Arabidopsis thaliana: one gene and its partner. The protein of the gene in region 1 binds, or shares a complex with, the protein of each later gene. Each region holds a gene or a part of one and is shown in the gene's direction. Other genes may lie near its edges.

Evidence for each region.
Region 2: EMB2753 (region 1) and AT5G13780 share a complex: the UniProt entries of both Arabidopsis thaliana proteins name them as parts of the natA complex.

Annotation. Positions count from the first base shown.
Region 1 is NC_003070.9:30,231,843-30,236,994, reverse strand, and holds the start of EMB2753 (tetratricopeptide repeat (TPR)-containing protein), read left to right. Parts: upstream 1-2,009; 5' UTR 2,010-2,162; coding exon 2,163-2,213; intron 2,214-2,700; coding exon 2,701-2,779; intron 2,780-3,163; coding exon 3,164-3,246; intron 3,247-3,353; coding exon 3,354-3,503; intron 3,504-3,672; coding exon 3,673-3,788; intron 3,789-4,105; coding exon 4,106-4,211; intron 4,212-4,607; coding exon 4,608-4,679; intron 4,680-4,770; coding exon 4,771-4,886; intron 4,887-5,089; coding exon 5,090-5,152. Other genes in the region: ATXRCC1 (BRCT domain-containing DNA repair protein), read left to right, coding at 1-20, 121-309, 400-511, 682-767, 860-973, 1,053-1,139, 1,267-1,551. UniProt on the Arabidopsis thaliana protein: Auxiliary subunit of the NatA N-alpha-acetyltransferase complex. Required for male gametocyte development, embryogenesis, suspensor development and the formation of the quiescent center (QC) in the root meristem.
Region 2 is NC_003076.8:4,446,713-4,450,591, reverse strand, and holds AT5G13780 (Acyl-CoA N-acyltransferases (NAT) superfamily protein), read left to right. Parts: upstream 1-1,916; 5' UTR 1,917-1,988; coding exon 1,989-2,288; intron 2,289-2,703; coding exon 2,704-2,982; 3' UTR 2,983-3,301; downstream 3,302-3,879. Other genes in the region: AGL15 (AGAMOUS-like 15), read left to right, coding at 144-204, 273-343, 448-547, 619-660, 873-914, 989-1,140, 1,299-1,464; AT5G13770 (Pentatricopeptide repeat (PPR-like) superfamily protein), read right to left, coding at 3,302-3,879. UniProt on the Arabidopsis thaliana protein: Catalytic subunit of the NatA N-alpha-acetyltransferase complex. Required for male gametocyte development, embryogenesis, suspensor development and the formation of the quiescent center (QC) in the root meristem.

The DNA of each region.
Region 1 (5,152 bases):
CTGAATTCTCTAAACTTATGGTTTGTGTGTGTCTTCATGGTCTTGTTGAGACTCAATTATCTTAAGCTGTCATGTTAGTTTATATGCTTTTGTGATTGAGTTGAAGGTTAAACTATGCAGGAAGGCGTTGTTTTTGTACTTTCGGGCTTTGTTAATCCTGAGAGGAGTACACTGAGGTCACAAGCCTTGACAATGGGAGCCACCTATCAACCTGACTGGAACGCTGGCTCTACCTTGTTGATTTGTGCTTTTCCTAACACTCCAAAGTTCCGTCAAGTTGAAACAAATGGTGGAACAATTATCTCAAAGGTTACCTCTTTGACTCTTCTTATAAGGGATTGTGTGCGGATTTGAATTTCTCCTTTTTGCTGATATTTTATATGATTTCACTGTCTCCAGGAGTGGATAACTGAGTGTTATGCGCAGAAGAAGTTGGTAGATATCGAGCAATACCTTATGCATGCTGGAAAACCATGGAGGAAAAGCAGTAGTCCCCAAGATGCTAATCGAGGTAAAAAGAATTATATTGGAAAGGCTTTAGATAGAATCTCCGTTTTAACCATCCTGAGGTTCATCAAATCACCTTGTTTTTACGTTTATGACAAGAGAAAAGCTTTTCTTATTGCACTGCTTCACTCCGATGTTTAGTTGACTCTGTGAACCTTAATTGATTGTATTCAGAAAAGAGAGAACACCTGTCTAAAAAACCAGAGAAGCAAGTAGAGAAAAAAACAGAAACAAGGGGAACACCATCTACCTCATCCAAGGCATGTTTAAATCTGATGATTTGGTTAACCAAAACGAACCGTATTTTGCTCCAATCAATGGTCTATGACTGTTTATTTCCATATGTTCACAGAATAGATCAGCTTGCAATCTTGTGAAAGAGCCATTTTTTGTTACAGAGGTGAAGAAATGGGCCAGGGATGACCTAAGTCAAACCATCTCATGGCTTGAGAGTCAGGAGGAAAAAGTAAGGGAATTAATATGCTCTTTCAAAAGACATGTTTTCTTGATTGTATGTTTCCGTTATTCTAAAGCCATTGTAACAGCCAGAACCAGGCGAAATCAAGCGAATAGCTGCGGAAGGAGTCTTAACCTGCTTACAAGACGCCATAGATTCTCTTGAACAGAAGCAGGTTAATATCTCTGAAGTCTGAACAATAATAGTTGCCGCCTGTGTACATTTTTGGATTTGTTAAACTTTGATCAGTTTCTTTGAGAAGATCATTGGTTGAATTTATTCTCGAATGTTCTTAATTTTAGGACATTGGATCAGTTACAGAGCTATGGAGCTTTGTCCCTCGTGTAGTGAAGGAGCTTGGAAAGATGGAATCGTCTTCTAAAAAGGAAAATTCAACAGCATCAAAGGAAGAAGTTTGCAAACAAGCAAAGTCGTGGAAAAAGATCTACGAAGCTGAGCTAGCAAAACCGGGCGAAGATGAATCGACCTCTCGGGTTGCTTGTGGCTATGACAGTGATATGACCGTTGAGATGACTGAAGAAGAGATCGAACTTGCTTATAGGAACGTTTCTTTAGAGTGTCTTTAGATCAAACTTGTTTCATTTTGCATATGATCTCTTAAGGAATTCCAAGAATTCTTGTTATACTCGGTTTGTTCGGTTTGAGTAGGATGTTATTACTGATAAAAATTTGAAATAATCCGGTCTGCTTGGTTCGGAAAGAATGTTTCTAATTAGAATTTATTTATGCTGGTTTGGATTCGATTGAGAGATGTAATCGGTTGCAATTAATAAGTCGGTTTGATTTGATACTTTTTAGTGTCGATTGACGATGAATTTGATCGGTTAATACAAATTTGATTTGGTCAATTAGGTTCAGATGTCTCCAGTTTTGAACCGGTTTGGTTCTATCCAATTTAATAACCGTTTTGTAATATCAGACAAACGAATTGAAACCGGAAACATGTACCGATATGGTTAGGATCGAAGAAGATTGATTGAAGACAAGACCCTAATTTATTTATACCCTTATTGGGTTTTGTCTTGTGAGAGTTGTGCCTTTCTTTGTTTCGCAGTAGGGTTGAAGCGGATAGTACGCCACCTCTATCTCTCTCTCACCCTATCGAACTCGCGAAGAACATCTTCTTCTTCTTCTTCTCCGTCTTCGTCTTCGCGAGCTCTCTCAGTAGCGCAATAAAATGGGGGCTTCGCTTCCTCCTAAGGAGGCCAACCTCTTCAAGCTCATCGTCGTATGTTCCGATTCCCTCTCTTTCTTTCTCAGTTTTTACTTTGTCTTAAACATGCGATGTGATGTTCCTGGTCAGCAGAAATTGGAATACGATGAGTTTTATCTGCTCTATTAAACCCTAAATTAAGTTAATCGTCAATGTGTTGGGTCAATAGAAAAATTCGTTGACATATGAAGTAAACTGTGCGGAGTTGTGGTTCCTTAATGTGTTAATTTGATGTACCAAGTTCTTAGCTTCAGTTACTTTTGACTATCGGCTATTATTAGACCTCGATTGCTTCTGGGCTTTTTTAGTCGCTCAGGGATTCGTAGTTTACTTTGAAGAACTTGAAAACCAAGCTTTATCAATATATATATGGTTTCAGCATAGATTTTGGGTTTAACCATTATATTGTTCAACCTGCTTTGAATAGTTGACCTTTTTCTTTATGTAATTTTCGCAAGTAAGTACATCATATATAGTTATTCTGAGTAATCTTATAATGCAGAAATCATATGAGACTAAGCAGTACAAGAAGGGACTCAAGGCAGCTGATGCCATATTAAAAAAGTTTCCTGATCATGGAGGTCAGTTTGTCTTTTATCTAATATCTCCTTCTATTCCTTTGTGATTTAGTGCTAATCTTTTTACTGCTATCTAAATACTTACAACTCTATACTACATACATCAACCGAGATCTCATGACTTGTAGGTCTACTAGGCGCTTCGTTGTCTTGTCTATAGTCTTAAGAATCAATCACTGTTAGAATTTTTATTTTCTTTCTTCCTATTAGAGCAAATAAATTAACTTTTTAGTACAAGGGTAATGCTTGGTATTGTTTAGTTTTGTTAGTAGAGACCAGTTCTGTTTCGTGTTAAACGCAGTTCTTGCTTTTTTTGATTTGTCAACCCTTTTCGTTATTCTTTTCTTTCTTTTAAAACTTGTCGCTCTTATTGTTTGTGATTTTCAGAGACTTTATCGATGAAAGGACTGACTCTAAACTGTATGGACCGCAAAACTGAAGCATATGAGCTTGTTCGACTTGGAGTGAAGGTTTGAATATGCTCTTCAATAATCACAACTTTATTCCTTAGTTTCCAAAATGGTATTTTGTTTTCAGGGTAACATAGGATTTATATACTTCAAATTTTTTCATGCAGAATGATATCAAAAGCCATGTTTGCTGGCATGTGCTTGGTCTTTTGTACCGGTCAGACAGAGAGTATAGAGAAGCAATCAAATGCTACCGAAATGCTCTTAGAATAGATCCTGATAACCTTGAAATACTCAGAGACCTCTCACTTCTGCAGGTAATTATGAGAAAAACTAGATTGAGGTGAATTTATTAGGTGTGCCAGTTATTCTCAAAGCTGATTTTTCATACTTTTTATCACTTTACTTTGTGTAAAGCTTGTTCCAATTTTAATCTCTTTTGATGCTTTCAATAGTTAATCATATTGGTTACTTTCTTTTTCCTAGGCACAAATGCGGGACTTATCCGGTTTTGTGGAGACCAGGCAGCAGCTTTTGACATTGAAGCCTAATCACCGAATGAACTGGATTGGCTTTGCAGTCTCTCAGCATTTAAACGCAAAGTATGTTATTGTCCTTGACCCCATAAATCTAAATATGTTAAACCACTTTACTCATTTGAATGGAATGCTAGTTTTTCCTCTTTGGACTATTGGCTAGCTGGTTAATGGCATATGATTTGGAATTATAGTCTTGAACACTTTAAGGAGTAGATAGTGGATGCCTATGTTGGTACGAATCTTGCATCAGATTTTTAGGAAATAATATACCAATGAACATACAGTAGAATTTTCTGTGAACATCTTTTCTTTACTAGTAAAAGCTAGCCATGTATATCAACCTTGATCTCTTAACTTGTTCTATTTTCTCCTGAAACCAGTGCTTCTAAAGCTGTTGAAATTTTGGAAGCGTATGAAGGCACCTTAGAGGATGACTATCCTCCTGAGAACGAGCTAATTGAACACACAGAAATGATTCTATACAAGGTATCAACCAGAAACTTTACAACTATCATATATTGACTGTTGTCTTTCTAAGTTTTTTTCCCTGAAAAATCATGCTTGCCTAAACGGGTTTCACACATTTTTCTCCTATTGACGAAAATACCAAAAGTACAAGTTGGTTGATACAAAATATGGCTTACTGCTTGTATCATACATTTTGTGAATCACACCTGTATTCTTTTGTGACAAAAGCATAACTCTCTCAAGTATAATTGGATATGAACCCTGGAAAGTCTCTCCAAGCCACCTGGAGTGGTGGTGTTCTGTTCACTCTTTCCCCCTGAAACTTCCCTGTTTGAGCAACCTACAGTTGGCATTAGCACATTTTTCATAGCTGTAGCTGCAGGAAATCTCATCTGGATTTTTTTTTCGTTTCAGGTTTCCTTGCTTGAGGAGAGTGGTTCTTTTGACAAAGCTCTTGAGGAGTTGCACAAAAAAGAGCCGAAAATAGTAAGTTCACAAAACTGATGGTTGAATGTATTTGGATAATAGGATGCACACATAATAGTAGATTTAACATTCCTCGTTTGCTTGTTTGTAGGTTGATAAGTTGTCTTACAAAGAACAAGAGGTATCTCTCTTGTCAAAGGTTGGTCGTCTAGAAGAAGCCAATAAACTCTACAGGGTTTTACTTTCCATGAACCCTGACAATTACAGGTTTTTTCCTTGCACTTCAAAGTAGCTCTAAAGAAATTATCTGTGTATTTTTTCGTTTTTCTCAATTGTCACATCTGTTTGCCCTGCTTCATTATCTTTGGCATTGGCGGTCTATACCTTTGCTACTCTCAAAGGCTTCTATATATTTTTGGTACTGTCAATTTTTTGTAAACAAATAAAAAGTGCATTCCTTGCTTTTTCAGATATCATGAGGGCCTCCAAAAATGCCTTGGATTGTATTCAGAAAGTGGTCAATATTCGTCCGA
Region 2 (3,879 bases), on another chromosome or scaffold:
TGTTTTTGCATGTCTTGTCTTGTTGTGATTAGAATCGATTTCGGGAACTGTAATTGATTTTTGTTTTTGCATGTTTGTTAAGATTAAAAGTTTTCTGATTGAGCTGAAGAGAGTCCTAATTTTGAATTCTCATTTGATTTTAGAATGAAGCAAACACTTTCCAGATACGGTAATCACCAGAGTTCTTCAGCTTCTAAAGCAGAGGTGAGAATCATTCATTCTTGTCTCATATATCTTGAAATTGTTTTTTTGAAAATCTGATTGCTGTTTAGAACCTCCAGGAGGATTGTGCAGAGGTGGATATTTTAAAGGATCAACTTTCAAAGCTTCAAGAGAAACATTTGTATGGAAACTAAATAAATCTCACTATGCTTGTTCATTACTTTATTCTTCTCTACTTTGTGTTTGTTTTTAGTGTTTGGCTTTGTGTGTTCTGTTCTGTTGTAGACAACTGCAGGGCAAGGGCTTGAATCCTCTGACCTTTAAAGAGCTGCAAAGCCTTGAGCAGCAACTATATCATGCATTGATTACTGTCAGAGAGCGAAAGGTAACTAGTAATATCACTCTTCCATCATCATTTCTCTTTGCATTGTCCTGATTATGGTTATCTGATTTCAGGAACGATTGCTGACTAACCAACTTGAAGAATCACGCCTCAAGGTAAACACTAGCTTTTCCTCTCTAGCTTCCAAATGTAAGCTTATGTGTAATCACATGATTCTGAACCTTGTTAAAACCAGTGGCTATCCTTTGACAAGCTCATGCTCTAACTAGCTAGTGTGCAGTTTATTTGTCTTAAGACTCCTATATAACTAGGTACAGAGTGCAAAAGTATAATTCGTTTCTTGATTAGCCATATATATACTTTGCAGGAACAACGAGCAGAGTTGGAAAACGAGACCTTGCGTAGACAGGTTCTTATTATTTTTGTTGAATCATCTCCTAATGAACGCTTCTTCCTCTGACTTGTAATTACTTGTTGAAACAGGTTCAAGAACTGAGGAGCTTTCTCCCGTCGTTCACCCACTATGTTCCATCCTACATCAAATGCTTTGCTATAGATCCAAAGAACGCTCTCATAAACCACGACAGTAAATGCAGCCTCCAGAACACCGATTCAGACACAACTTTGCAATTAGGGTATTGCTCTTTTAAGTCTATTTGCTGTCATTGGTTGCATTATTGGAAAGCTGATTTAAGATAAATATAAGTCTTTTTCCTCCTCTGTTAGTTATGCATATGCCTTAACACTCACTAACTGGAGTTATAAAATTCTTACTACTTGTGTTTTCTCCAAGGTTGCCGGGAGAGGCACATGATAGAAGGACGAATGAAGGAGAAAGAGAGAGCCCGTCAAGCGATTCAGTGACAACAAACACGAGCAGCGAAACTGCAGAAAGAGGGGATCAGTCTAGTTTAGCAAATTCTCCACCTGAAGCCAAAAGACAAAGGTTCTCTGTTTAGTCCTAGAAAAGTATGGGAGAAGGCTACTAATGTTTCCTCTTTAGCAAGTATCCGATTGTTTTAAAAGTAATTTTAGAGGGATACTTGCAAAAAGAAGAGAAGATTCAGTTATCTAATCTCTGCACCAACTCTCTTTGTCCTTCTTCTTTTGATTATTTCTCGACTGTCTCTCCTATAAAAAAGATATGCCTAGCTGAGAGTTTGAAATCCATAATCTTTACAAGGCACAGAGTTATTTGACATCTCGTATAGTAAGAAAATTTGCGGAGAAATAAGCTTATAGAAAGTGAAGGTTATCGGAATCTTCCTACTCCATTACAATCAAGGCCCAATTGGACCTCAAATCCTAAACTGAAAAAGTTTATAATGAATTTCATTAAATGCCCCTAAAATATAAGCAAAAGTTTCAATAAAGACCTCATATTTCTCTATAATTACAATTCGTCCCCAGATTAATAAAGCCCAAAGGCATTAGACCGAAAACCCTAACCCCTCTTTATCCGCGCGAGAGCAATTGAGCAGCCATGGTTTGCATCAGGCGAGCGACGGTGGATGATCTGCTGGCGATGCAAGCCTGCAATCTCATGTGTCTTCCTGAGAACTACCAGATGAAGTACTACCTCTACCATATCCTCTCATGGCCTCAGCTTCTCTACGTCGCCGAGGACTACAATGGTCGCATCGTTGGCTATGTCTTGGCTAAGATGGAGGAAGAGAGCAACGAGTGCCACGGCCACATCACTTCTCTCGCCGTTCTTCGTACCCATCGCAAGCTCGGTCTCGCCACTAAGCTCATGACCGCCGCTCAAGCTGCCATGGAACAGGTTACTCCTCTAATCTTCAAATTTCGTATATCTTTGCATTCAATTAAGCAGATTCATTGAATTGATATAGAGTTTCGTGTTGAATAATTGGATGATATAGAAGAATTTGTGTGGTTTGAGTTTATGTTGAAGATTGATATAATGGTGTAAGTTAAAGGATTTTATTGAAAGTTAGAAACTTTGTGTGTCAAAGTGATTGTTGCAATTGTCATTGGAATTTGAAGTAACTTAAGCTCTGTAGATTGTATAAAGAGATTAAGTTTTGTCTCCGGTCGTGTTATGCTTTTGACTGACGGAGACGAGTAGTTTCTGATTGCCTGTGAAACTAATAATAGCAGACCTCAAAGGTTGATAGTTGTTTTCACTCTCGAACTTGGACTTTTTAAATTCATTCTCGGTCGGGGTTTTGTGGCAGGTTTACGAGGCTGAGTATGTTTCGTTGCATGTGAGGAGAAGTAACCGAGCAGCATTCAATCTATACACTGAGACATTAGGCTACAAGATTAATGATGTAGAAGCAAAGTACTACGCCGATGGGGAGGATGCTTATGACATGCGGAAGAATCTCAAGGGGAAGCAGAACCATCACCACGCCCACGGTCATCATCATCACCATGGAGGAGGATGTTGTTCTGGTGATGCAAAAGTTGTAGAAACAGCTCAAGCCGTAGATGGTAAAGCAGTTTCCAAATGAGATTCGAAAGCAGATAATTATGAGTATATTGAGGTGGGTTCACTGGCTCGCTCTAGTACTTCTCACTATTTCCATTCATATGATTCCGAGTGACAAATACATTTGGTGACCACTCTGTGTTACTCCTTTGTCTTTCTTTGGTTGTATTGAAAATTTAGCCGTTCCTTTTTTTGATGTATCATTTTGGAAATTCCAAGCTTTCATTAAGGCTTTACAACTTAAGCTGGAAATCTTCTATTTGCAAGATAGCAGATCTCTATTGGCAATATAGTACATTTAATTACAAGAAAAATAATCTTGGCTTGTACAGTTTTCCCTTTCAACTTAAAGTTCCTGTGTTCTTTGTATTCGAATATTTTGAAGTACTAGTTTGTGCAGCGTCAAAGCTTTCCTGTAGCCATCTGATCTGGGAATTGAGACCAGCATCACGCAGAGCATTCAAAGCTGAGGAATAAAGCCTAGCATCAAGCCTGGTTCCTTCAACTTTCATGTCCTGCAACAGCCTCATTAGCTCATCAATCCTACTGGTTTTGGAGAATACACCGACCATGATTCCTGCCATGGCCCTATCAATCTTTCCTCTGTTCATCCTAAACTCCTGGTAAAGCTCCACACATCTCTCCAACTCTTTTGATCTGTTATATGCACTGATCATACTAGTGTAACTCACCTTGTCCGGCAACACCTTCGCCCTCTTCATCTCTTTCCATATCTTTTCAGCCCTCCTTAAGTCCATAGCCCTTCCATGCATATCAATCAAGGAATTGTAAATCCAAATGTTGGGTTTACACCCTCTTTGTTTCATCTTAGCCATGAGTCTCACTGCATCGCTTAGTCTCCGTGTTTTCCCATACATATCCATTATGTTTGAGTATGCAACAACACACTTATCAAACC